Linked DNA regions of Notamacropus eugenii. The main gene of each other region encodes a partner of the protein of the gene in region 2 in a complex. Links are inferred from orthologs where the notes say so. Each region holds a gene or a part of one and is shown on either strand. Other genes may lie near its edges.

What was found.
Region 1: SNRNP40 (region 2) and CRIPT share a complex: the UniProt entries of both Homo sapiens proteins name them as parts of the minor spliceosome. The link is inferred for Notamacropus eugenii from reciprocal best matches to the Homo sapiens genes SNRNP40 and CRIPT.
Region 3: SNRNP40 (region 2) and SRRM2 share a complex: the UniProt entries of both Homo sapiens proteins name them as parts of the minor spliceosome. The link is inferred for Notamacropus eugenii from reciprocal best matches to the Homo sapiens genes SNRNP40 and SRRM2.
Region 4: SNRNP40 (region 2) and ARMC7 share a complex: the UniProt entries of both Homo sapiens proteins name them as parts of the minor spliceosome. The link is inferred for Notamacropus eugenii from reciprocal best matches to the Homo sapiens genes SNRNP40 and ARMC7.

The regions. Positions count from the first base shown.
Region 1 is NC_092872.1:662,290,718-662,297,762, reverse strand, and holds the start of CRIPT (cysteine-rich PDZ-binding protein), read left to right. Parts: upstream 1-4,037; 5' UTR 4,038-4,090; coding exon 4,091-4,136; intron 4,137-7,045. UniProt on the Homo sapiens protein: As a component of the minor spliceosome, involved in the splicing of U12-type introns in pre-mRNAs. Involved in the cytoskeletal anchoring of DLG4 in excitatory synapses.
Region 2 is NC_092876.1:72,718,414-72,725,351, forward strand, and holds the start of SNRNP40 (U5 small nuclear ribonucleoprotein 40 kDa protein), read right to left. Parts: upstream 3,024-6,938; 5' UTR 2,749-3,023; coding exon 2,596-2,748; intron 1-2,595. UniProt on the Homo sapiens protein: Required for pre-mRNA splicing as component of the activated spliceosome. Component of the U5 small nuclear ribonucleoprotein (snRNP) complex and the U4/U6-U5 tri-snRNP complex, building blocks of the spliceosome.
Region 3 is NC_092872.1:56,350,080-56,357,355, reverse strand, and holds the start of SRRM2 (serine/arginine repetitive matrix protein 2), read left to right. Parts: upstream 1-4,270; 5' UTR 4,271-4,463; exon of another isoform or gene 4,464-4,471; intron 4,472-7,276. UniProt on the Homo sapiens protein: Required for pre-mRNA splicing as component of the spliceosome. As a component of the minor spliceosome, involved in the splicing of U12-type introns in pre-mRNAs.
Region 4 is NC_092873.1:341,058,984-341,066,392, forward strand, and holds the start of ARMC7 (armadillo repeat-containing protein 7), read left to right. Parts: upstream 1-4,395; 5' UTR 4,396-4,483; exon of another isoform or gene 4,484-4,583; intron 4,584-4,585; exon of another isoform or gene 4,586-4,757; intron 4,758-4,941; exon of another isoform or gene 4,942-5,032; intron 5,033-7,409. UniProt on the Homo sapiens protein: As a component of the minor spliceosome, involved in the splicing of U12-type introns in pre-mRNAs.

The DNA.
Region 1 (7,045 bases), on a different chromosome or scaffold from region 2:
GTGTGCACTCTTTGACCCAGCAATACCACTTCTAGGTCTGTATCCCAAAGAGATCATACAAATAGGAAAGGAACCTACATGTACAAAAATATTTACAGCAGCTCTTTTTGTGGTGGCTATGAACTGGAAATTGAGAGGATGCCCATCAATTGAGGAATGACTGAACAAGTTGTGGTATATAGATGTAATGGAATACTATTGTGCTATCAGAAATAATGAACAGGTGGACTTCAGAAAAACCTGGAAAGACTTATAGGAACTGATTCTGAGTGAGGGGAGCAGAACCAGGAGAACATTGTATACAGTTACAGCTACACTGATCAATGACTAACTTTGAAAGACTTGGCTCTTCTCAGCAATGCAAGGTTCTAAGACAACTCCAAAAGGTTCAAGATGGAAAATGCTACCCACATAAAAAGAAGTATGGAGACTGAATGCAGATCGAAACAGTATTTGCTCTTTTTTGTTTTGCTTCTTTCTTGTGGTTCATTTCGTGGCTTATAATTCCTCTTTGCAACATAACTAGTGTGAAAATGTTTTAATGTAATGTATATATACAGCCTATATCAGACTGCACGCCATCGTAGGGAGAGGGGAGAGGAAAAAGAGGGAGAAAATTGGGAACTCAAAAGCTTGTGGAATTGAATGTTTTAAACTAGTAAATAAATTTTTTTAAAAAGAGGTTAAAAAAAAAAGAAATTCATCCACCTGTAGCACTGGCCCCTGCTAGAATCAAAGCTATGCATTGTGGAACCCCTTAAAAATATAATTTCTGCCATTTCTTTTTTACCATGTCTTACCTCGACTAACACTCCAATACTACACTATCTTATTTACACCTCCTGTCAAATACTAAGTGACATTATACGGACTTTCATAGCAAAGCACTAGCCTGGTATCACCTAGAATGATTAATCATACTATTCTGAACCAAGGAACACCAACTTCGAACAAGCATTAATTAAGTACCTACATGGCAAGCACTTTGCTAAGCACTAGGAATACCAAGAAAGACAAAAACTGTCTCTGCCTTCAAGAATCCCAAGGGAGAGACAACAAACACCTAACTATGCACAAAAAATACCTATACGGGATAAACTGAAGATAATCTCAAAGAAAAAGCAACAGCATGAAGAGAGAAAGGCAAAGGCTTCTTGCAGAAAGTAGAACTTTAGTCGAGCCTCAAAGGAAGCCAGAGAATCCAAGGAGGCTCTTAGGGGGGAGAGAATTCTAGCTATGTGCCCATGCACAGAGCCAGAAAGACTGAGAGATAGATTGTCCCTAGATGCCAATCATACTTAGTTTGAGGCTAAAAAAAGCCTCTATTATTATTAAAAAATAATAATAGCTAACATTAATAGTTTGCAGAGCGCTTTACAAATTTTATCTATTCTTCTCCACAATAACTCTAGAAGGGAAATAGTTATCTCCGTTTTAGAGAGGAGAAAACAGGCCCAGGTTTAGTGACGTGCACACAGCTAACAAACGTTGAGCCCAAACGTGAATCCACGTCTTTCAGACTCCAGGTATAGCATTCCATACACTGTGCTACCTAGCTGTCTCCGATCTATTACCGTGGCTCCAGGTAAAGCCAAGCACCTGAAAGGGGACGGCGCAGACGGAGGAGCCAAGCGTCACAGGAAGAGGACTGACTACACGCAGCCAGAGGGCTTTTCGACGGCCGGCTCAGGGACCTTAGACTTAAAACTTCCCATCTTCGGTCCTCGCTCTTCTCGTCTACCGACCAGAGGGGCTGGTCTAGAGACGATCTCTTACGATCCCACAGGAGCCAGGAGAAACCAGGAAAAGTTTCTCACAAATCTCATTCCCCTCGGAAAGAGAACATTCTGCCGAAGGAAACGCGCCCCTCGCGGACCGGGTAGGCGGGCACGTCGCTTTACCTGTCCAGGGCCTCTAGTAAAAGAGGGCTGGAGGAGTGACCTCCAAGGTGAATTCTGGCTCGGGGCCCCTTCGGCGTCCCAGAGGTGGGAGGGCAGCGGAAGCAGTGAGAGGCACACCGGAGGAGAGAAGGGCAGGAAGCGGGGCCACTCCACCGCAGAGCCCGGGGCTCCGAGGAGGGACGTGGGGGGGCGGGGAAGCAGGACCTGCCGGAGCAAGGCCCAAGCGGAGAGGGGCGTGGTGACCCCCAGGCTTCTCCGTTCGATCTTACCTGAGCCTCGGGCCTGAGCAGAAGTGGGTGGGAGGTAAAGCTCCCGCCCTCTCGGCTCTCAGGTGCGACTGGTTGTCTCGCATTACGCGCAGGCGCACACACACGTGCGCACGTGAGTTCTTCCTCACTCAATGGCTGGGAAGCTCCAGCAGCCAATCGGAGAGGGAGAAAGGCCGGAAAGAGGAGACAAGCCCCGCCCTCTTTCCTCCACCAGCGCTCCAGGTGTGGGGGAGGTGAATTAGTAAGGCGGAAAGAAATCCCTTATGACCCGGAAGGAGGTTCCCGGCCGGAGGATTGTTTACATTTAGAAGAATCCCGCGCCTTTGGGAAGGTAGTTAAACCGACTTGATCCCTCTAACAGGATGGTTTGCGAGAAATGTGAGTGAGGGTACCTATCGCTCCGGGGGATGGGGATGGGGGCAGAGGAGAAAGAGGGGACAAAGATGAATGCGCGACCCCTGGCCCAAACTCCCGAGGCTCCCTGTGCTTCTCAGCCTCAGGGGGTCTGGTCCCTGCCCTGACCGCCCTCCCTTCAGCTAGTCCTCTGCCTCTCCTTTCCGACATCGCCAAAGCCTCTCCCGGTGCTTCTCGCCCATTCCCCTCCGTTTCCACCCTGTTCCCCCGCTTGAGGCCCGAGCCGATTGTCGCGTCTCAACAGGCGTCGCGTCTCTACCCTGCTCCCTAAATCCCCCCTGCTGCCCTTATCTTTGGTCACGAGCCTGCTCCCCAGGGCCCACGGCAGCAGGACCGTGTGAGCCCTGCGTGTGTGTATGTGTGTATGTATATGTACACGTTAATCAGTAGGACCCTACATTTGGTCATATCCCCAATATTGCAGAGAAGAAAACTGAGGCCCACATCGTTAATTGGTGCAAGACCCGAAAAGTGATAAGTGATAGAACAGGGATTTAAAGAAAGGTTTTCTGACTTGAAATTCACGGAGGGGGGGGAAGGGTTTCCCCTTCTCCAACTGCATAAAATCAACTGGATCCTCTATCCTCTATCCACATTCATGTTCAGTGAGTGCTATTTCCATCATAGCTTGCAGTCTCTGTAGTCCAGATTTGAACGTTCCTGAGCCCAAAAATATGCCTTTGTCATAACTAAGTTTCACCCACCCAATTCTCTCTGTCAAATCCTGCCTATCTTTCAAGGTCTAGTTTAATTCCACCCAGGTATGTAGGCCCACCATGGTCTTTACATATCTCTAATATCCAAAAGAACAGTATGATTCTAACACTCATTTGATTTTAATCACTCTTTGTAATTAATATGTGTGTGTGTATCGTTTCTTTAAGGAGATTACAAACCCCTTAAGAAGAGGGACTTGGTTTCATTTTTTATCCTCCACGTTATACCCATTGTAGGAAGGTAATCAGTCTCTCCATAAGTACTTGTAAAACATCTTCTATGTGTCAGGCAATCTGCTAAAACGTTGGGAATACAAAGAAGGGCAAAAGACTATCCTTTCTCTCAAGTAGCTCAACAGGTAAAACTGTATATAAACAAGTTATATACAGGATAAAGAGATAATCAACAGGCAGCTAGCATTCATCAGCCTTCAAGGGATCAGGAAAGGCTGGAATTTTAGGTGGATTTTTAGCCAGGACTTGGAAAGAAGCCAGAAGTCAGAAATGAGGAGGGAGAGCTTGGAGGATAGCCACTGAAAATGCACAGTCTGGAGACGGAGTGTCTTGTATGAGGAAGTGCCTGGAGGCCAGTGTCACTGAATCACAGAGTAGAGGGTGAATAAGTCAGAAGACTGAAAAGGTAGGAAGGGGCCATTTTGTGAAGAGCTTTGAATACTAAAGTATTTTATATTTGACCCTGGAGGTCATAGAAACTACTGGGGTTTATTGAATGGTAGATGAAATGGTCAGACCTGCCTTTTAGACAGATAATTTTTCAGCTGAATGGAGAATGAACTGGAGTGTGAAGAAACCAGTGGGCTATTATAGTACTCCAGGTATGAGAACCTGCGTCAGGGTGGTGGCAGTGTCAGAGAAAAGAAGAAAATATGTTTGAGCAATGTTACAAAGATGAAATCAATTGTACTTGGCAACAGATTGGGTATTGGGGGAGAGTGGAAGTGAGGAGCTTAGGACTACATCTAGGTTTGTGAGCCTGGGGAACTGAGAAGTGCCATTAATAGTAATAGGAATTAATGTAATTAATTATTTTTTAATAGTAATAGGAAAATTAGAAAGAGGGAAAGATGAATTCAGTTTTGGACATGTTCAGTTTAAGATATCTATAAGACATCCGCTTTGAGATGTCTAATAAGCAGTTGGAGATTCTAAAGTCTAAAGCATTTGGAGGTCAGGAGAGAAGTTAGTGCTGGGAAAGTAGATCTGAGAATCATTAGCATAGAAATGACGGTAATTGTATCCGGGAGATTGAGTAAGATCACCAGGTGAAAAATAGGATAGGGGAATAAGAGAAGAGGGTCCAGGACAGAGCCCAAGACAACCCATTACATTTTTGGCTATCTCCAATTTTGGGATTTTATTTTTTCCTTCCATGGAATCCAAATTTGCTTTGTTCATCAGCGTCTGAGCAGAAACTAAGGCAGCAGATAATGGGAATGATCCAAGGCCAAAGCTAACAGGCCATGATCAGCAGCGTGATCAGAGCCAGGGACTCAGTTGAAGTGGACAGTGTAGAGTTGAACTGGTTCACCAAGAGGTCACGATGAGAAAGAAAGGAGAATGCAGCTAGTGCAGGAGTGGTGGCCAGGGAAAGAACTGAAGGCTTAAGGAATTGGAGGTCACAATTTGGATGAAGAACAGGATAGAGAGAGAGGGAGAATGACAGTAGATTGTGATCAGATAAGGAAATTTCAAGAGGTCGTTACCATGGAGGTAATACATTGTCGGTGAAGGCAAGGGCAAGGTTATGGCTTCTTTGTGTATGGCTGAGGTGGGGTGGTGGAATAGGTCATATAAAATGAGTAAATTAAATGAGTTGGGTTTATTTTTCAGATCTGTGCGTAAGAGAGGTAATATTTTATTTTTTTCCAATTCCATTTAAAGATAGTTTGCAACATTCATTTTTTTAATAAGATTTTAAGTTCCAGATTTTTCCCCTCTCTCCCCATGACAGTAAACAATCTGGTATGGGTTATACATTGTACAATCATGCTAAACATATTTCCATATTAGACATGTTGTAAAAGAAGAATCCATACAAAAGGGGAAAACCGCAAGAAAGAAAAACAAAAATAAGTGAAAATAGTAAATGCTTCAATCTGCATTCAGACTCCATAGTTCTTTCTCTGGATATAGATAACATTTTCCTTCATCAATCTTTTGGAATTGTCTTGGATCATTGTATTGATGAGAAGAGCTAAGCTAGTCATAGTTGATCATCACACAATGTTGCTGTTACTGTATGCAATGTTCTCCTGGCTCTGCTCACTTGACTTAGCATCAGTTTATGTAAGTCTTTCCAGGTTTTTGTGAAATCTGTTTTCTCATCATTTCTTATAGCACAATCCATTACATTCATAGTCAGCCAATTGATGGACATCTCCTCAATTTCTAATTCTTTGTAACCACAAAAAGAGCTGCAATAAATATTTTTGTAAATGTAAGTCCTTTTCCCTTTTTTATGATCTCTTTAGGATATAGATCTCATAGTGGTAATTGCTTTATCAAAGGGTATTCACAGTTTTATAGCCCTTTGGGCATAGAGGAACTGTGAATTTAAGGTGTTTAAGAGAGTATCAGTGTGTATGTTGAAGTCCTAGTATGAGGGAAAGAGTTGGGGAGGAGAGAACAATTGTGATCTTATTGTGAACTCATTGAGGAAAGAGGGGGAGTGTACTGGAGGCAGAAAGTTAACAGCTATTCAGCAATACCACTTCTAGGTCTGTATTCCAAAGATATCGTGAAAATAAGAAAAGGACCCTCATATACAAAAATATTTATAGCAGCTCCTTTTATGGTGGCAAAGAGTTGGAAACTGAGAGAAATGCCCATCAGTTGGGGAATGGCTGAACAAGTTGTGGTATATGAATGTAATGGAATACTGTTGTGCTGTAAGAAGAGATGAGCAGGCAGACTTCAGAATCCACATTGCGGCTTTCACAGACTTAGCTCTTCTCACCAATGCAAGGATCTAAGACAGCTTCATAAGACTCATGATGGAAAATGCTGCTCATATCTAAAGAAAGAACTATGGAGTACAAATGCAGATTGAAACATACTGTCTGCTCTTTTTTGTTGTTGTTTTGTTTGGCTTCTTTCTTGTGTTTCTCCCATTGGTTCTAATTCTTCTTTACGATATGACTAATGTGAAATTTTCACTAATATGAAAATAGGTTTAATATGAATGTATATAAAGATTGCATGCCATCTTGGAGAGTGAGGAGGGAGGGAAGGGGAGAAAATTTAAAACTCAGAATTTTATGGAAGTAAATATTGAAAAATAAAAATAAAAATTTTTTTGAAGTTAAAAAAAGAAGGATAACAGCTACTAGAATTTTTATTGGGTGGTGGAAAGGGATTCAGTGAATGTTAAAGGAAGAGAGACTACTGCATAGTGATGGTAGCAGGAAAACTTGAAATTGGCACTCTGAAGCAAGGAATATTCAACTTCCCCATCTCAGTGTGGGGAGGGGGAAAGAGGGGGGGAAATGGAGGAAATGGGTGAAAGTGGAAAGGTAGGCTGTAGTCAGAGGGATCCAGTTCTCAATAAGAGCCAGAACATGGAAGAAGTGGGAAAGACAAAGATTTAAGATGAAAGCAGGTTTGTTACCTATGGAGCAGGCATTCCAGACAACACAATGGAAGGGGTAGGTAGCATTAGAGTGAGACACTGGGGGCTTTTCGTGGAGGAGAATAGTACTAATTTATCAGTACCAGATGCAGAATA
Region 2 (6,938 bases):
ACCTCATCTAGAAACTGAAGAGGTGGCCTGGGCCATATCTCAGGTTCTTCCTAGCTCTAAATCATATGCCCGTAAGTTAAAAGGGTCGTACAAACATTAAGCACCCAGCACAATTCTGTCTCCTTTTGTCCATAGACAACAAGGTAGTACTGAGGGTTGAGGCCTGGTTCCTTCATACTCACAATTCCACACTCTGGACCTCAGCTTGTCCCTTTAAAAATTACAGGACTGGACCAGAAAGCGTCTAAGGTCCTTTTAATCGCTAAAATTTATGATTATAAGATCTTTTTCAGTCAGTCAATAAACACTTATTAAGTGCCTACTAGGTGCTGGGCACTGTGATAATTGAAGGGGATTCAAAGATAAAAGATAGTCCCTGCTTTCAAGGAAATCCCACTTTAATGAGGGAGACCACAAGCAAAAAGTTATCTACAAACAAGCTTTGTACAGGATAAGTAGGACATAATCAACAGAAGGAAAGCCCTAGAATTGAGGGAGGTTGGGAAAGGCTTTCTGTAGAAGTTGGGATTCTAGCTGAGACTTAAAGCCATAAGGTAGAGCTCAGGAGGGGGAGCATTCCAGGCATGGGGAGAACAAGCAGTGAAAATGCCCAAGGTCAGGAAATGTTCTTGTTTGAGGAAGAGTCAGGAGGCCAGTGTCACTGGAGGGTTGTACAAAACATAAGAAAACTAGAAAGGGAATGGGGCGGAGAGGCATGCAGTGCTAGGTTATGAAGGCTTTGAATTTGAAACAGGATTTTATTCAATCCTCAGGATAATAGGGAGCCATTGTAGTTTACTAAATGGAGATGTTATGGTGAGGCCTGCACTTCAGGAAGACCACTTTAGCTGCAATGGACTGGAGTGGGGAGAGACAGGAAGACCGATCTGGAGATTATTGCAATAGTCCAGTCTTGAGATGATGGAGACCTGTACCAGTGTATTAGCAATATCAGAGGAGAGAAATGGGTACATGTGAGAGATATTACAAGAGACCTGACAGTTGGAGCTCAGCAGAGATAAGGGCAGAATAGGTAGATCTGAAAACTGCCAGCAAAGAAATGATAAATAAATCCACAGAAGCTAATGAGATCACTAAGTGAACTGTGTAAAGGGGGAAAGTGAAGAAGGTCAAAGACAAAAATCCTATGGGACACTCCCAGATAGTGAGCATGACCTGGAAGAGAATGCAGGAAAGGAGACTGAGATAGAGCAGTCAGAAGGGAGGAGGAGAACTGGGAGAGAAGGTAGAAAAGAAGTAGGAGAGAGTGCTGTTCCAAAAACCAAGAGAGAAGAGAGTACAAAAGAGAAGAGCGTGATTGACAGTATCAAGGGTTGAAGAGAGGGCAGGAAGGATGAGGACTGAGAAAAGGCAATCACTGAATTTGGTAACTGAAAGATCATTAGTAATTGGAGAGAGAGGTTTCGGTTGAGTGATGAGTTCTGAAAACAGACTAGAGAGTTAAAGTGAGAGGAAAGAAGTAGAAGCACCTATTGTAGACAGCCTTTTCAAAACAGGAGAAAAGACAGAGAAGAACAGCTAGAAAGGATCAAGTGAGGGTTTTTTGAGGATGGGAGAGCATGTTTGCAGTCAGCAAGAAAGCAGACAATAAAGAGAAAGAGGTTGAAGATCGTGAGAGGTAAGGATGGAAGGAGCAACCACCTGGAGGAGACAGGACAGAATGGGATCACAGGTGCAGGAGGAGGCAAGGAAAAGGGCCACTTCACTACGTGAGCCAGGGATGAAGGAAGAGATAGATATGAGTGACAGGAAACGAGGAGGGGAAAAGAGAGAGCTCAGAGAGAATACTCTTAGCTTTTTCCGCAAAATAAGAAGCCATTTAGCCGAGAGAACTGGGGAAGGGATACCAAGAGAAATTTAAGAAAGGATGAAAAGATTTTGAAGAGCCCCCAGGGAAAGTGGGATGGTGAGTCATTTAGGGAGGTATAAAAGGATCGTCTCCTAGCACTGCAGGCCAACTGAGGTCACGTAGCATATATCGCAGCGGACCCAAGAAGCACGATTTGGGGATTTTTTTTCCAGTTTTCCTTAGTAGCAAGAGAGAAGAAGCCAGTGGAGGCTTTCAAATAGCGAAGGGGCTATCACACAGAAACGATTTTTAATGCTTGTTCCTCCCCACCCCCAAGCAGAATCAATTGGAAAGATATTACAAATTTCATCTCAATACAACGACAACACAAATCCTAACTTTGATAACTGTCCCAGCTTTGAGAGCTGAGGGTTTGAGATGGGCAGCCTCGGAAAGATGTCCCCCGAAGGGGGTGCGGGACCGTCACCCTAGGTCTAGGACCTCTTTGGGACCCGCGTTCACGATCTGTAAAGGGAGGGTCGGGCTCAGAAAAAGTCTGAGTCCAGAACCTCCCCCAGCCTCAGTTTCCCTCCCTCTCTTTAAGGTGAGGAGGCTGGGCTCTCTGAAGGTCTCTCCGAGGTCCCTGACAGTCCGAGAAGGATGAGGAGGGGGACGGAGAGGGGGAAGGAAAGGGAAGAGGAAGAGGGGAGCGGAGGAGCAGGAAGACGAGGGGGCGAAGGGGAGACGGGAGCTGACAGGACTCGTTAGCTCGCTAGGTCACATACCGCTTGTAGCAGGGCCCCCGGCGGAGGCTGCTGCCCCGCAGCAGGCCCGGCCCCGGTCCCCGGCCCCGCCGCTCCCAACAGTAGTTCATGACGGGGCCGCTTGAGGGGAACGAGCGGCAGCTCCGGACCCTTCCGCTTGTGCTGCTCGATCATGGCCGCCTCAAGCCGTCCGCGCTGCTCAGTCCACAGGCCGCGCCGGGGTTTACGGCCCGGCTCCCATTGGCTAAGATTGTCCCCGCCCACCCAGGAACTTCCGTCCTAGGCCGGACCAATCAATTTCCTGTGTGTGTTCTAGAGCAAGGGTAGAGTAATTCATTCCTTCTCATCCCTTCTTATTGGATAGAGGGCGAGGCCTTCAAGAAAAATATAGGACTGTGATTGGCTGCTATGTGTGAGGGAGGGACACGAACAAACTTCCTGTGCAGACTCTTTTGTTAACTTTCCTTGCTTCTTCTTATTGGGTCAGAAGACGGGCTGTCACCGCGAGAATCAGTCTCCGATTGGTCATTGCGTTCGGTGGGAAGGTTTCCTGAACGCGCGGTGGCTGATGGGCGGTGGCTAACGGATTGGCTGTGGGGAACGGAGGCCTACGATTGGCTGCGCTCCGAGCGCTTCATGGCGGCATCCTCTTAGATCCTGTACCTTGGAGGCTGCTGAGTGAGTGAGTGTGGTGGGCCGTCTTGGGGGCCTCTCCGGGCCTGTGGGCTGGCGGGCGGGCGGGGATCTCGAGCCCAGGACTCTGTGTTTGCCCTCTCTGATTAGACTGGCTTGCCATCTTCCCCGCCGTAGGAGACTTGTGATGCTCTCTGTTGAGGACCACAGTCAGGCAACAAGCATTTATTAAGCGCCTGCTGTGTGCCGGGCTCTGAGAATTCCAGTCCCTGTCAGTGAGGAGCTTCCATTCTCCTGCTTTGGAGAAGAGGATACCTGCGAGGTTCAGTGGACAGAACCCCGGGCTCCCTCTCCTATATTACAGTTGCTCTGTCCCAAGACCCCCCCCCCCCCCAGTCCATCCTCCACCCAGCTGCAAAAGTGACATTTCCAGAGCACAGGTTGGACCCCGAGTACGCCTGTCACACTCTAAAATAATCGTCCAGCCCTATTGCCTCTCGAATGGAAGGATTCCGGACCTTGTTTGTGTGCTGGACCACTTTGACAGTCAGTCTGGGGACTCCGCTGAATCGTCTTCTTAAATGCACAAAAGAAAATACGCAAACTTATAAAGGAAGAAAGGGAGGAAAGAAGGAAGTATTTATTGAGCGCCAGGCACTGTGCCATGCCCGTTACAAGTGTTATTTCATTGGGTCTTCACAGCTGTGCAGGGGAATTTGACAGTTGAGGAAACTGAGGTAGACAGAGGTCAAGTCGAGAGTCACACAACTAGTGAGTAGATTGAACTCGTTGTCTTCTCCCTAAAGCTCCCTCCCTTCACACACCATCCCTCTTTTACTGTAGAGGAAGACAGCACCGTCCTAACAATCATCCTGAACTGCTCACTAACTCTTACCCCTCCCATCTTTGCAGCATATGTGGGATATGCCCCTTCTGGCCCCTATCACTGCCATATCCCTGGACTATTGCAATAGGGGCTGGAAGGTCTGCCTGCTTCACCTCTCAACCCACCCCAATTCATCCCTCTATTCCATGAACTTGTTTTTTGTTTTTAATAGTCTGGCAACTTTTATTTCAATACATTTGGTTTTTTGGGGGGCAGACAGTCATTCATTTGATAAGCATTTATTAAGTATCTACTATATACCAGGCACTGGGCTAATCATTGTGAATTCAGAAAAAGGCAAAAGAAAATCGCTGCCCTCATGAGCTCACAATCTAATGAGGGAGACAACCTTCAAGTAAATATATACAAATAACCTAATATGCAAAATAAATAAAAAATAATCAAGAGATGGAAAGGCATTAGGGATTGGGGAAGACTTCCTGTACACAGCTGGATTTTACCCGGGACTTGAAGGAAGAAGGGGAAGCCAGAAGAGAGATGAGGAGAGAGAAAGCATTCCAGACATGGTAGGCAGCTAGAGAAATCAGTCAATCGGTAAACATTTATTAAGCACCTACTATGTTCCAGGTACTATGCTAAGCACTAGAGATACAAGAAGATGCAAAAGACAGTCCCTGCCCTTAAGAAATCCAAATTGCTGCAAAACAATCCAAATGAGGAGACAGCATGCAAACAACTATATACAATTATGCTCCCTTTCCCCTCATTCTGGAAATTTATGTTCTAACTCAGGGGTGGGGAACCTGTGGGCCTCGAGACCACATCGACTTCTAGGTCCTCTGGTGCCACCTTTTGGCTGAGTCCAGGTTTTACTGAACAAATCCTTTTATTAATGAGATTAGTTCTGTCAAGTTTGGCAGTCAAAGGGCCGCACTTGAGGACCTAGAGGGCCACATGCAGCCTCAAGTTTCTTCTTGCAGTTTCTTCCCCTCTCCCCCTGCAACCAAACTGGACTCCTGGAAGTTTCCCAATGTGCCCTTCCATCCCTGCCCTCTGCCCCCTTTGTACAAACTATCCTGCTCCCCTAGAATGAATACCCTTCCTCTCTATCTTTGCCTCTCAGTAACCTTAGATTCCTTCAAGGTCCAGCTCAGGAATCACCTCCTCCATGAGATCTTCCCCAATCTTCCCAGTTCCCAATTACTCTATATTTATTGATCTATGTACATCTTGTACCCTGCTCCCCCTATAGTAAAATAAGAGAACTCTGACAATTGAGACAAGGCTTTTGCAGCTGCCCTGTGATTCTATTGGTGTGGGTGTCTCTCCATATGGAAACTCCACTGATAGTAGGCAGAGACTGTCTTTTGCGTTTTCTGGTATCCCTAATGCTTAGCATACTACCTGGCACATAGTAGGCACTTAATAAATATTTACTCATTAATTGATTGATTTTTCTGGCCATCTACCATATCTGGATTGCTTTCTCTCCTCACCTTTGCCCCCTGGCATCCCCATCTTCCTTCAAGTCCTGGGTAAAATCCAACTGTGAACAGGGAGCCTTCGCCAATCCCTAGTGCCTTCCGTCTCTTGCCTGTTTACCATGTGTATAGGTTATATGTATGCATTTATGCTAGTATAGATTTAGGCCTTACCTTAAAATGGCTTTAAGTCCAAGACTTTCTTTTTACAGATGAGGAAAATTGAGTCTCAGAGAAGTCAAGTGATTTGTCCAATGTCACGTAGTCATTTTGTAGCTGGAATTTGAATCCAGTGCTTTTGACTCCTGAGGCTATTTTTTTTCCCCAGTGTGCCATGTCACATAGCTAATAAATGTTCAAGGTGGAATTTGAACTTGGGTGATTCCCCACTTCTGGTTTAGCTCATTAAAGCTGCCTCTCATAGGAAGGTACTTTTATCAAAGCAGAAAATCATGTTTCTGTGACACTTTAGTCACAACAACTCTGTAAGATCACTATTTTGGGTACTCACTTTACAGGTGAGGAAGGTGAGGCAGACAGAGGTGAATGGCATCCCCAGGGTCAGACAGCTAGTAAGGACACACACTGACTACTCTGCCTCTCAAGCTGTAAAGAGCTGCATAAATTGTAGAGTTGTACAAGAGTAATTGTTATTGCACTCCGTCTTCTTCTGGTGTTTCCTTGTAATTCTGAGGTTCTAACACCAGCAACATGGCCAAAGTTCTGACCCAGGGTATAGCAAGCTGGGGAGGCTTCAGATTTTCACTGTGGGTGTACTGTGTACTTTAGCAGCTCATTAAGAGGAGGCTGGCCTCTAGGTGATGATCTTTTTAAGGTAGAGCAATTCATCAAAGGTAGCTAATTCACATAGGAGTTGTAAAAACCACCACTCCTTAAAGTGTTGAAGCCTTACTCTCATGAGTTTGTTCTGTGCTCAGCCTTGTATGAGCTGGGGGTGGGGAGGAGAACATTGATATTATGCTGGAAAGTTTCCAAAGAACTTTTTCTGTCCATTTTATCATTGGGTCCTCACATTTACTATGTGGGACAAATGTGTGTTCGTCCTTCACTGTCGAAGAAGACCATACCATCAGAGAAATAATGACATGACTTGCACTTGACTTTGTTTTGAGGGAGGGAGGGCTGTGCAGGTCACCAGCCTTACTTCTCCTCCTGAGCCATCTGAATTCAGTGACCAGATATTCATCAGAATGACTGGAGATGACCCAGGATGAGGCAGTTGGGGTTAGGTGACTTGCCCAATGTCACACAGCTTCTAAGTGTCAAGTGTGTGAGGTGAGATTTGAACTCATGTCCTCCTGACTCCTGCACTGGTGCTCTATCCACTGCAACCACCTAACTGCCCTATGTGGGACAAATACTACCAGTTTTGATGTCCCTTT
Region 3 (7,276 bases), on a different chromosome or scaffold from region 2:
GGGCAGAGGAGATTTCTCTCATTGTCCCCTTCCCCTCCAGCTATGGTGGCTCCTTCAGGACTACAGTGTAGGAAACACTGAACCCAGTAGAAGTAGGCCCAGCCGGTAATGAAAGTAGATAACTTTGAGGAGTATGAGTTGTGTATTGATAAAGCAATGAGCCTTAGTTGTGGAAGGCTGGACTGCAGAGAGGAACAGATCCAGGGAGTTCAGCTGAATGAATGACTAGTGCAGGAGAGATTCTGCATCTCAGGGGAACACTATGAGGACTCCAGAAGGAAAAAGTCATGAGAATCCTGCAGTGCTGGAGGTACCTGGGCCACATGTGTTTCTTAGGTGTTTGCCTTTCTACTAAGGTATTCTATATAAGTACCCACTCTTCCCATGGACAATGTGTAGTTGTAGAAGACTGAGCTCCAGGTCTATGGGGGAATGTTTTGTTACAATTGTTCTTCTGATGCTATCTTAAGATATGCCTTTGCTTTGAGCTGACCATTAAAGGTAAGGGGGGGTGGGAGTGGGGGTGGGTGGGGGAATGGTGAACTGTAGTTTTAGGAGTACAGACTCATAGAATACCTTGAACCTCTAGGGTAGTTATCTCCCTGGACACCTAACCTGAAAGTGTGGGATTTGAGGGGTAGCCCAGAGGTAAACCAGTGTTAAGGATGAGGTATAAGGTATCAGTTACCTAAAGTTCAAGCTCCTATAAAGTACTGCACATACTCCTAAAAGCTTGATTTCCAACTACTTCCTAAGACTCAGTATTTCCCCCAAAGAGCCTTTCTCACAACTATCTGAACATATCTTGCATTTTCTCTGTTTCCTTGCAGTTCTCTCTTCCTGCTATGTAAACATCCTGAGGGCAGGAAGCAATTCTCTTTTGCTTTTGTATCCTCAGCACCCAGGAGGTATCTGGAACTTGCTAGGGCTGTCAGTCAATCGGTCAATAAATTTTTATTAGGTTCCTACTAGGTATCAGGCATTGTGCTAAGTGCTGAGGATACAAAAACAAAAAAGAGGGAAAGACAGTTCTTACTCTTAAGAAACTTAATGGTCTAATGAAGGATGACAACACACGAAAGGAAGCTGAAAAGAGGGAGGGAGTGAGCGAAAGCACGTGTGGGGGAAAGATGCCCAGGTGTGGGGACATGATGGAGTTCAGTTCAGAAGTGTACAGCTAGTGAGAAATGAAGAGATGACTGGCTTGGAAGGCCTCATTAAATGGAGGCTTTGGGAAAACCTATTTGGTCTGCCTTCCAGACTGAGGGTACTCATGAGGTGTTGCATTCCAAGGCTCAATAAATACTTGTTGATGAATTGATCAGAATCCTCTTCTCCAACTGGCAAAATCTAACTCATCTCTCCAGTAGCCACTCAAAGAGTAAAGGGTTGGTCAAGGGACTGCCCACACTGATAAAATCACAGCTCTTGAAGTATTTGAGGAGATTACAACTTAAGTATGTGATATTACTAAGGTGTATATTATTATGATGGTGCCTACTGAGTCTTCTGTGATAAATCCTTTGTATGAAAAGGATATCATGTAATTAGTTCAAAGGTCAGGACTTTGGCAAGGTATTTTTAAGTTTATGATTAGAATACATCCCTGAAGACTTTCTCAATCCCAATTGAACTTACAGTTCAACAAACATTTATTAAACTCTATAATGCAGAGGGTACTGTAATAAGTACAGGGTGGCTACAGAGATAAATTTAAGGCACAATTCCTGGAATCCCATAATCCAGAAAAGTGACTGTAAGAAGACTTAGATTCATATTAAGCTCTTACTACTTACCAGCTGTGTGAATTTTTTAACTTACTTAGGCCTCTGAGCCTCAGTTTCCTTATCTATAAAATGGGCACCAATCATACATGTATCAACCACCTCGCAGAATTTTTCATGAGGAAAGTGAATTGTAAACATAAGAACACCACGAAAATGAATTTCTTTCTCTTAATTATGATCAAGGTTCAAACTCATTTGCCTGTCATTCAAGGTCTTCTACAATCTGGTGACACCACCTTTTCAGTTTTATAGCATGTGAGGCTATGGCGGATAGATTTGCTGTTGGATTTGAAATTAGGAAACCTGAGTTTGAAACATGGCTTTGCCATTTAATAGCTTTGTGGCCTCAGACAAGTCACTTTATCTCTTTAGGTCTTAGTTTCCTCATCTGCAAAATCGGAAAGGAGGATAAGATTAAAATGCTTCTAAGTTCCCTTCCAACTCAGATCCTATCAGTTCTCTATAATCTTACTTCACTTCAAACTGGATATTCTTTCTCCCCTTCTCTATAACACTTTTGTTCCCCTACTTGGAATACTTTTTTTCCACTTCTTTAACTTAAAGGTCAACTCAAACATCATCTACTCCAGCATAATTTTATCTCTATACAGGAGCATCTGGAGAAGTTCACCTTCTATACAGAATACCTCTTCTAGACTCTGTACAGAATTTCTTTACTAAAAGTAGAAAACACATTTTGATGAACAAATATCATTGTTTTATGACCTGATGTTAATACTTAGAGATGGTATTTGTCAAGGAATCATATGATCTTAACATGTGCAGGGGGCACTCTTTACAAGAAAATCAAATCTATGCTTTTTGGGATCAACAGTAGACAGAGAGAGATCTTGAATTCTCAGCACCTTTCAGTCAATTTTGTGACTGTGAAGATGAAATCTATGATATAAAATTGTTCAAGAGAGCTTCTTTGTTTCCTTCTATTTTTTAAAAACTTAAGGACACTCTCTAAATATGTATAGATCAATCTCATGTTTTATAGGGATGGGAAAGTAATTTTTTGTCCTTGTATTTTCAGCACCTAGGGTTGTACTTTGCACATAGTAGGCCCCTAATAAATATCTGTTGAATAACTGCTGATATTTCTTGATTGTATTTTCCTGTAATGATACCATCCCTGGTCTCTTTGAGGTATCTTTAAAAATGGACCCTTTTGTAGCTGTCGCACTTCCATGATGTTTTTCTTCTGTATGATGACAACTCACATTTCCATATCACTAGGATTTCTCTCAACCGCCCTTTGGTACATGTAGTAGGTATTTAATGCTTGTTGATGGAAGAATATCAAGGATTTTAAATTTCCTGTGGATGGTCATTCTATTGAAGATCATAATCTCTCATAAATTCAAGAGATGGATTTCCAGAGTTATTGTGGCCAAAAAGTTCATCAACTTGCAGGTGATAGGTATTGGTGAAGGCAGCTAGGCTGGCCTGCAAACAACACTCACCTATCCTTACCCCAAAGCTTTGATAGCTTATTGGGACATGTTTGACTGTGCTCTTTGTGCCTTGGAGAACCCAGGGGGATGTTTGATATGGTGAAAAATAGGACTTTGGTGAAAGCCTGAAGGTATTTTCACTCTCCTTTTAGATATTAGGAAATGAGGTTCAGACTACAAGTGACTGTCTCAAGGTCACACAACCAGTAAGTGAGAATTTTACGTACTGCACTAGGCTGCCCGAATGACATACAGATAACTATTGGGGGTGAGCTTCTGGGGGCTGTGATTATCTAAGCTCTATGGGACAATGGGACACTTCCCTAATAACGTGGATTGTTGTAGAAAATCACGTTTTAAGCGTGCATATTCTACATTATTTTCATCAAGTACATCCTGGATATGTTTGTAGACCATTCCCATAAACAAATGAATTATAGGTAAGGGTCGATGAGACTCAGGTCATCGTCTCTCAAGATGGCGACAGACAAAATGGCAAGCCCATCCCCCCATCCCCCTGCTCCTGGGGTGATGCTAACACACAAGTTTTCTCTCCCCTCTGAAACTACGACTCCCAGAATTCCCCTGGGGACGGAGGAACTGTGGTTTAGGCCTTCTCAATGCCTTATGGGCATCCTATTGATGTGGCGTTAATACAATACTCCCTTTCCCCCCAGTGGCCAGCCTCCAGAATACATTTCCGCTGCCCGCACCTCCCAACCCGTAGTGCACGACGGGAGTCGCAGTGGGTTCCTGGTGGTATTAAGCAGACGTACATGCTCACGGGACTACATTTCCCTCGAGGCATCGCGATATGAAAGTTTGCAGGGGTGGGGAGTGTGTGGGGTAAATAAAGAAAAAAGACTGGAGGCTTGCGACTGCGCGGAAAACCAATGTAAAGAGCGTGAGAAGAGGGCCTCCGACACTACGCTTCCCGGCGATCCCTGCGACGTGCGTGCGTGCTGACGTCCTCTGTTAGTCGTGCTGACGTGCAGCGCGGCCCAGGCGGGGTGCGAGTGGCGCAGTCGGAGCCCGCTGCGGCCCCCGAGGAAGCGAGGAGGCGGTGGCGGCTGTGGCAAGGCAGAAGAGGAGGCAAGGCGAGGCAGCGACTCCAGGCCCCGGAGGACCCAGGACCCCGCAAAGCAGTCGCGGAAGAATTCCCCCCCCTCCTTCCCGACCCGGCGGGCGGAGGCGGAGGAGGAGTCGTCGGCGGCGGGTGAGCGGGTGAGAGAGAGCCGGGCGGTGGGGGGAGGGGCGGCCGCGCGGTGGCCCCGGCGCGAGGCCAGGCGCGCGGAGAACCGACCAGGCCGCACGCGCGCACGCGCGCTCGCTGTCTCGCGCTCGCGCTTATTCCTTCCTTACTCTTTCTCTATACCCTTCTATCTCCTTTTCACTTCCCCCTTTTCTCGTAGCCGACCCCGGCGCGCGTACTCCTCTTCCCCCCCACCCCCTCCCCCTCGGCTGCGGCGCGCGTCGCCAACCGAACGCGGTCTCGCGCGCGCGGGGGAGGGGACATGGGGGGGGTGACTGAGACTCGAGGGAAGGGTGCGCGCTTCTGTAACTAACCCCCCCCTTCCCGTTCCACGTGCCAGTTGTGGAGAACTGTATGCCTGTACCTCGACCTGTGGCCAAACCCTTCCCTTCCAAAAGAAAAAAATTCCTGTTCCCCTGCATCTTCCGGTGGGGGAGCAGGGTACTCTGTAGTAGGCCAACTCCGACTCTCCCCTCCCCGCTCATTTTTACTATACTCGGCTCCTTCACCCACTAGGGATCGTAACCCCTTCGGCCTCCCCTTAGGCCCTTGACCCCCTCCCACTCCACCTACTCGCATGTCGTCTTCCCTTTCCCAGAGTGCCTCTTAACTCGTTTTTTCTATCCACTTCCTCTCTGTCTGCTGTTTTCTGCCCCCTTTTCAACCCCTTATGTTTGTAATTGGTCCCTGGTCTTATCTGATTCTATTGCCTATTATTTTCCAAATATATTTTATCTCTTCATCTGCCATCTTAGAGGATTTCTTCACTTTCCCCATATAATGGCCAAAACCGTGTGTTAGTAGCTTTTTGTACAGGGTACTCCAAAGCTTTTTTAAACATTTGAACTGGAAAATCTGCCTTAAACGCTGTAAATGCCAAAAAGGAGGCAGTCAAAAACATGTATTCAGTATAGTTAGTGTGAAGTAACATTACAACATTTTTGTCTTTTTTTTTTTCTTTTTTGTTATAAATCAGTTACTGTGTGCCAGGCAGTGTGCTAAACTATGAGGGTAGAAAAGGAGGTAAGAGAGTCCCTGCCCTCAAGGCACTCACAATCAATATCTCCCTGAGAATAGCCATGACAAGAGAGAGACCACTGAGTGGGGAGTCGGGAAACCTGGGTTCTTGTGATTGGCTGTGTGACCTTGGGGGAGTCACTTCTCTTTCCGTCTCAATTTTCCCCCCCTCTAAAATGAGCTGGTGAATTAGATGAACTCTGAGGTTCATCTCTAACGTGATTCGTTGTTGATTGCTTTCATTACATGCACAGTTAATTTCCTGAGTTATCCCAGATCCTCTTCATGTATTTTGGTAGCCTCTTCTTTTTCTCCTGTTAGTCTTTACTTGTAGATCCTTTGCTCTTAGTTCTTGATTGTTACCTTGTTTTACTACTGGTGGATTTTCTAACATGATTCGTTGTAGATTCCCTTTCATTACATGCACAATTATTTTCCTGAGTTATTACTCTCCATTATAATCTGGTGCCATTTTATAGCTCCATATTTCTGTTTTGATCAGTTAGAAAAAAAGATATTTTTCCCAACTTTAATAGGTTTTTTGTAACTCTAAAGCTAATTCATATTTTTCCCCAGATCCTCTACATGTTAGTCCTTTACTTATAGATCTCTTTCTCTTAGTCCTTTATTGTTACCTTTTATTACTGGCTTCTAATTTTTTTTTTTCTGTGGCTCCCTTGAGAGATTCCCTACAGTGACTCCTTCCTACCTTTTTTCATAAAGGTCCTCTACAGTTCCTAAAGCCTTTAGATTCATAATAATGTTCTCTGTATGTCTCTTCTCCCCCCACACTCCTACTGCCCCTAACCCTGTAGTCTTTTCTTAACACCCTCCCACCCTTTTTTGAGCACTATTTTGGATGCTTCCCTCCTCAAGGGCTTCCTTTTACAATTTTCTCTTTCCCATTGATTCTCTTCCACTATTTTTTCAAACGAAGTCACTTGGTTTTCCCTCTCTAGGGGAACGGAAGGGAGTTTGGGTGAAATGGTATGGAAGTGTGGGTGAGTGAATAGGTTGAACATTTAGAGAACAGAACTCCAGGACATTGGGAGAGAAGTGGAAATGAGAGTAAAAGGGGAAAACAACGATTTGGGATTTTGAGGAGTTAGGAGAACATGAGAAGATGATAGGGTGGGATTCTGGACTACTGGAAAAACCTCTCACTTAAAGTTTTCCTGTTCTTTTTCTCCTGTTTTCACTTGGCCTGCTTCTCCCCTTGCTTGACCCTTCTTTTTTCTTTGCTCTGGTTTTATCATCCTCTTTTACTTTTTTTACTTTTTTTTTTTGTCCTTTTCTTTAAGGTCTATGGGGGCTTTTACTTTTTTATCCTTTTCCTTAAGGCCTATGGGGGCTAGAAAAAACCCAGGCCCTTGTCTTGCCTCTTTTTTCAGAGCAAGTAGACTTCTTGGACAAAGTCCTTCCTCTTTGGAATCTCTTTCATACATACTATCCTTTACCTCTTTCCAGCTTTTCCCAGGCTGCTATTCTAGTATATATTATCTATAGTTCTGCTTATTTAGTTCCCTTCTACCCCAGTCTTCTCACTTTTTCCTCTTACTTGGGACTATACCTTAGTTTTCTACTTAGGATTTCTTTTCTTTGATCTTTTCTTTCTTTAGGACATTTTGGAAAGGTGGGAGAAAGGAACAGGGTATACAGGAAAACAATTTAAGGTAGGGGGCATGTGACAGGGAAATGTGGTAGGAGGAAGGTCATGCCAGGGAAAGAACAGTATGATAGGTCAGAAGTTTGAGGGGGAG
Region 4 (7,409 bases), on a different chromosome or scaffold from region 2:
GTTATATAAGACTAACTATATTTCCCTCCATCCTATCCTGCTTCCAATTACTTCTATTCTCTCTTTTGATCCTGTCCCTCCCTGTGAGTGTCGACCTCAAATTGTACCCTCCTCCCCATGCCCTCCCTTCCATCGTCCCCCCCACCCTGTTTATCCCCTTGTCCCCCACCTTCCTGTATTGTAAGATAGGTTTTCATACCAAAATGAGTGTGCATTTTATTCCTTCCTTTAGTGGAATGTGATGAGAGTAAGCTTCATGTTTTTCTCTCACCTCCCCTCTTTTTCCCCAAACTAAAAAAAAATCTTTTGCTTGCCTCTTTTATGAGAGATAATTTGCCCCATTCCATTTCTCCCTTTCTCCTCCCATATATTTCTCTCTCACTGCTTAATTTCATTTTTTTTTAAGATATGATCCCATCCTATTCAATTCACTCTGTGTACTCTGTCTCTATGAGTGTGTGCGTCTGCATGTGTGTGTGTGTGTAATCCCACCAAGTACCCAGATACTGAATAGTTTCAAGAGTTACTAATATTGTCTTTCCATGTAGGGATGTAAACAGTTCAACTTTTATAAGTCCCTTATGACTTCTCTTTGCTGTTTACCTTTTCTTGCTTCTCTTCATTCTTGTGTTTGAAAGTCAAATTTTCTTTTCAGCTCTGGTCTTTTCATCAAGAATGCTTGAAAGTCCCCAATTTCGTTGAAAGACCAATTTTTCCCCTGAAGTATTATACTCAGTTTTGCTGGGTAGGTGATTCTTGGTTTTAGTCCTAATTCCTTTGACTTCTGGAATATCCTATTCCATGCCCTTCGATCCCTTAATGTAGAAGCTGCTAGATCTTGTGTTATCCTGATTGTATTTCCACAGTACTTGAATTGTTTCTTTCTAGCTGCTTGCAATATTTTCTCCTTGACCTGGGAATTCTGGAATTTGGCCACAATATTCCTAGGAGTTTCTCTTTTTGGATCTTTTTCAGGTGGTGATCAGTGGATTCTTTCAATATTGATTTTGCCTTCTGGTTCTAGAATATCAGGGCAGTTTTCCTTGATAATTTCATGAAAGATGATGTCTAGGCTTTTTTTTTGATCATGGCTTTCAGGTAGTCCCATAATTTTTAAATTGTCTCTCCTGGATCTATTTTCCAGGTCAGTTGTTTTTCCAATGAGATATTTCACATTATCTTCCATTTTTTCATTCTTTTGGTTTTGTTTTGTGATTTCTTGGTTTCTCATAAAGTCATTAGCCTCCATCTGTTCCACTCTAATTTTGAAATAACTATTTTCTTCAGTGAGCTTTTGAATCTCCTTTTCCATTTGGCTAATTCTGCTTTTGAAAGCATTCTTCTCCTCATTGGCTTCTTGAACCTCCTTTGCCAATTGAGTGAGCCTATTTTTCAGGGTGTTATTTTCTTCTGCATTTTTTTGGGTCTCCTTTAGCAGAGTGCTGATTTGTTGTTCATACTTTGCTTGCAAGTCTTTTATTACTCTTCCCAGTTTTTCCTCCACCTCTCTATCATGATTTTGAAAATTGTTTGGGCTCTTTAAGACCTTTTCCCAGAACTGATCCCATTGAGTGGACTGGGATGTAGAAGCACTGACTTCCGTGTCTTCCCCTGATGGTGAGCACCGCTCTTCCTCATCAGAAGGGAGGGGAGGAGAAACCTGCTCACCAAGAAAGTAACCCTCTATAGTCTTGGTTTTTTTCCCTTTTCTGGGCATTTTCCCAGCCAGTGACTTGAGCTCTGAATATTCTCCTCACACCCACCTCGCCTCCGGATCCTCCCAGCCCGCGCTTGGGGTCTGAGAATCAAATGCTGCTTCCCAGCCTTAGGGCTTTTGGCAGGGGCAGGGCTGCTATTCAGTGTGAGATTAAGTTCAGGTGCTCAGGTGGGGGCAGGGCCGCCTCATGGGCTCAGTTCCCTCAGGGGATTTATGCGGAGACCTTCAACAATGGATCCAGGCTCCTGCCTGCTTGGGGAGCCCGGGTCTGCTCCCGCCTCCGCTGTTGCCTTCCGAGGGGGCCTGAGTATGGGGGCACCCCACTCCCCTCTCAACCCACCAAAGAGACCTTCTCACCGACCCCCGTCACCTGTGGGTGGAGGGACCCGCGTGGCCGCTGGAGATCCCGTCCCTGAAGTCCGCTTGGATCTGTTCCTCTCGTTGCTGGGGCCCGTGCAGGGCTGGGCTGGGCTCCGCGTCCGCAGCGCGACGGACCTTTTGCAAGAGGTTTGCAGGTCCCTCTGGAACAGAAATCTTATCCGCTCCACTATTATGTGGCTTCTCCTGCTCCCGAATTTATTGGCGGCTCTTTACTACGGATATTTCATGGGCTGTGGGTTCGGAGCTAGCGTATTTGTGTGTTTCTACTCCGCCATCTTGGCTCCACCCCCACAAGAGTTTTTTAATAGGTAACAAACCTAGGTCATTTTCTGAGGAGAAAGAGTAAGTATCTCTTAAGGTGTGGTTCATTGTGTAAAATGCTGCAGACAGGTCAATAATAATGACTGGGGAAAGTTCATCAGTTTTGGTTGCTATTTGTCCTTTGTTCTGGAAGACAGGAAGTGATGCCATGACATGCAAGTTGTGTGGGATGGCTCAGGTCCCTACATAAATCAATTACTCAGAGGCCTCTCAAAGTGATGACAGAAAAGTGATTTATTCGTTTCTCAAGAAGAGGGGCTTACCTGTAGGAGTAGGAAAGCCGAAGACAAAGAAAAGGGCAGTGATTTATATAGACCCTAACGCAAGTCCCTCCTCCCCACCACTGACCGTTATCCTCATTAGCTGAGAATATGGTCTTACATTCTAGACACGAAATCTAACCAATCCCTTTTGAAATGAAGACATTGAGGAATTATGTAAGTTTTGTCCAATCATTGAGACCCTAATACACTACACAGTTTTATATCCTTATATGGAACTATTCTATTCTAAAAATATTGTAACCTTGAGCCTTTAGGCCTTACCTCACCCCTGGGAGAAAAATTACAATCTGAGGAGTCTTCAGTAAGTCTATCCCACTCAAAGTGAATTGGATTTAAGTGAGGCAGGGCTGTGCAAAGTCACCAGCCTCACTTTCTTCCCAGAGCCATCTCAGTCCAGTGGCAAGATGCTGTATTTGTCCTTCACTTTTGAAGACAACCATGTTGTGTTTGTCCTTCATTTCCGAATACCATGCCATCAGAGAAACGATGACATGATCTGCACTTGACTTTGTTTTGAGTGAGGGAAGGATGGGCAAGGTCATCAGCCTCACTTCCTCCTCCTGAGCCATCTGGGTCCAATAGCCAGATATTCATCAGGATGACTGGAGGTGGGCCAGGATGCAATGGGAGACCCTGGCCTTTTTTAGGCTAAGGCTTTTTTCAGCTACTTTTTTCAGAGTGAGGTAATGCCCATTCAATGAATAGACCTCTTTAAGAAGTCAATCAAAGGATGGTCCCCTTAATTAGAAAAAAAGATAAATTCAAGCTGAGAGGGGAAGACCCTCAGGGTTGCTGTTCCAAAGAGAGTTACCATTGATATTAAGCCAGGAAGGTCTTAAATGCAACCTTGAAGTGAAGCCTGGGCAGAGACCTATTGTGCTCCCCATTCATGAGCCTCAGAGTGAGCTGGGTTGAAGGTTTTGTGAAAGAGAGACAAGAAAGAAGGAAATCTAGCCAGTAAACTCCAAGTTAACTGGGCAAGACATACATCAGGATGACTGGAGATGGCCTTTGATGCAGTGGAAGGCTGGCCTTTTCAAGCTAAGGTCTTTCCCAGGTCTCAATTTGACTAAGGTGAGGCAGAGAATGTCCTCTTTCACCTAGTTAAAAAAAAAATCAATCTGGGAGGGGAAGACCCTCTAGCCAAAACAGAAACAACTGCTATTCACATTCATTCTGAGCCATTCGGGGCTTGGCCTGGGGCCTTCTGTTGGCCAATCAAGGAGAGCCAGAGTGGACTTGCATGCCTTGACATCCTTAGAAACTCTGAAAAGAACAGTTTAGGTTGAGAGAGTAGTCAGCGGTTACTGGAGAACCCCAGGGAGACTGGAAGGATAGTGGTACTCCAACAGAAGTGGGGGTGTTCAGGGGAGGTGTGGGTCTTTGGGGGGGGGATAGACAACAATGAGATCAAATTTCATATCTGCACCAGTCCATATTAACTACTTTTTCCAACAAAAACAAAAAAGGCAAAGAGGCATGTACAGGAATGAGATCTTACCCTTGATGGCCCCAGCTGGCAGAGCTCACCTGTTGAAAGGTTTTGGGTGTGAGGATGGGTGGGGGATGGGCGGCCAGGAATTGTGCCTTCCAACTGCAGAGCATCCATGACCTGCCCAAGTTTAGGTTATAATAGCGCTCCCCGCCTCCCTCCGCTCCACCGGCCCCGCCTCCCGCTGGGATCGGCCAAGGGCGGAGCCTGGCCACGCCCCTTCCGCCGCTGGGGGCGGGGTCAACACCGCCTTCCGCTCTGGAGGAACTGCCGTGCAGAGCGGGCGCGGTAGGTGCAGAGAGCTGGGGGCCGTGGTCGCGGGGTCCCTGCAAAGCAGCTTCTCTTGTCTCCAGGTCAATCTCGAAACGACAGAGCGCGGTGACTTCCGGTGTGTGAAGCCCCGCCCTCGTCCCCCATAGTGAGATTTAAGGAAGTCGAGGCAGGATGCCTGAAACTCGGGGGATTGTTTTGGTGGCGTTACCTTGGTCCGTACGGAGGCCGTGTGTGCTGGGGAGAAGGGCCTGCTGCGGAACCCTGGCTCTGGAAGCCTGGGCCACGTTCAGTCAGTCAACCAGCATTTATTATGCGCCTACTCTGCGACGCCTTGGGCATGGCGTATGGGGGAGGGGAATATACCTATACATGACGTAATACAGAGGGGGGAACGACCCTCTGGGAGCTCACTTACATTGGGGGGTGGGGCGGTGGCGGAGGACATGTTTACGTAAATGTATACAAAACAATTAGTGTTCACCTGGGCGAGGGGAGTCAAGGAAGCAAGTGCAAGAGGGAGATACGAGGAGTGCCCGAAGGCAGGCCGGTGCAGAGCGAAGGCAGGTTAGGCGTTTATTGAGCTCGTACTGTGTGCCAGACTCAGGGATAAGCGCAGAAGGTACAGTGTAACAGAGAACGTGCAAGTTGCAACTTTGTGCAAACGATGTTCTCTGGATGAAGTGGAGATGATCCCAGAAGGGAGCGCCCAGGAAAGGCTTCTTGAAAGTGGGGTTTTAGTGTAAGGAAGTCAGGAGACAGAGATGAAGAGGAAAAAAATTACAAGCGTTGGGAACTCATCAGGAAAATGCACTGATTGAGGAGATGGAAGGTCATGTGGCCAATATCATTGGATTACAGAGTATGTGAGGGGAGAAAGGCATAGGAAGATAAAGGTAGGAAAGGGCCAGGTTGTGAAGGGATTTAAAAGCCAACCAGAGGGTTTTATATTTGATCCTGGACATGCTTTCTTGTGTTTGTCCTTTGTTTTCGAAGAGGACTATGATAATCAGAAATGATGACATGAGTTGCATTTGATATGGTGCCACTTGACTCCTCATTGACATGGTCACACCTTCCCTTTAGGAAGATGACTGGCAGCTGAGTGCAAGATGGACTAGAGTGAGGAGAGATTTGAGATAGGGATACCAACAGGCTTTCTAAATAGCCCATAGTATGAAGGGATGAGGGCCTACACCAGAGCAGAGGAGAGAAAGGGATATGTAGGAGAGATGCTCTAACACTAGAATTGATTGGACTTAACAACTGGTTGAATATGATGGGTGATAGGAGTCAAAGATAACACCTAGGTTTCAATTCTGGATAACTGATAGGATGGTGCTGCCCCCAAACAAGAATAGGGAAATTAGGAGTTCTGTTTGGGATATGCTTTGAGATGTCTCCAGCACGTCTAGTTTGAAACATCCAGTAGGCAGTTGGAGATACAAGTCAAGAATTCAGGAATGAGAGTAGGACCAGATATATGGGTCTATAGATAAGGTTTATCTGCATGTAGATGATAATTAATCCTATAAGAACAGTTGAGGTCACCAAGTGAGATTGTAGAGAGAGAAAAGGGCTCAAGGACAAAGTTTTGAGGTATACCAGCTGGGGGAATGGGATGGATGATGACCCAGAAAAGGAGATTTTGAAAAGAGGTGGTCATATAAAGAGGGAAACTGAGGGCAGGTTCATGAAAACCCAGAGAGGAGAGTGTATCCAGGAGGAAAGAGTGGCCAACACAGTTTCAGTCCCTGCAGAGAAGTAAAGAAGGGTGAGAATTGGAAAAAAAAAAAAACTATTGGATTTGACAGTTAGGAGATCACTTGACAACTTTGGAGAGAGCCTTTGCAATTGAATGACAAGGTTAGAGGCCACATTGCCAAAAGCAGAGAATGTGGAGGCCATGAGTGTTTAAAAATCAGCCTACAATGATTAATAATTGTATGACGTTGGATAAGTCACTTACCTCCATAGACTTCATCTGTAAAATAAGAGGGGGGGGAGTGTGGGCGGGGGTTGAATGACATAATTCCTAAAGTCTCTTCCAGCTCTATCATTGATCCTCTTTGTTACCTGCAGTGGCATATTGGTGGGAGCACTGAGTTGGGGCATCAGGACCCTTTTGGCCCTGGACTTCAGCTCTTTCATATGAAGTATTTGTAAACGACTTAGCACAGCTAGCACACTTAATAAACACTTGTTTCCTTCTCTCTTCCACTCTTTTTCTCCTTCCCTCTCTCCTTTCCTTCCTCACTCCCTCCCTTCTGCCCTCCCGTTTTTCTTCCCTCTTTCCTCCCTTCTTCCCTCCTTTCCTTCCTCCCTTCTATCTTCTCTCTCTTTCTCCCTCCCTTCTCTTCCTTCCTGCCTTCCTTCCTCTCTCCCTTTTTCTTTCCTCTCTCCTTCCCTTCCTTCTCTCCCTTCATTCCTTCCATCCATCCTATCTCCCTCTCTCCCTCTTTTCCTCTCTCCTTCCCTTTCTTCCTCCTTTTCTTCCTTCCACCTCCCTCCCTCCCTTTTTTATGTCCTTTCTCCTTCTCTTCTTCCTTCCCTCCCTTCCAACATCTCTCCCTGCCTCTCTCCTTTTTATCCTGCCTTTTTCCTTCACTCCTTCCTCCCTCCCTTCCTTCTTTTCTCCCTTTCTTCCTCTCCCTTCCTCCTTTCCTTCATTTTAGGGGCATGTGTCACATAGATGACTTAAATGGATGATGTTTGCTTGTCCATCTCTGAGCATTTCTGTGAACGTGCCCTTCACTGATCCAAATTGCAATCCATCCTTACCTTATCCTGTGCAATTCTTTACCTTGGTCTCTCCTACATTCTCTAGAGGGATGGAGTACAATAATATTGGAGACCTTCTAGGTCTCTGACATTAAATGGTACCAGTGTAGCACTGAAACCATACAGTTATTATCTTCCAATCGCGTACATGACTGGCCCACCA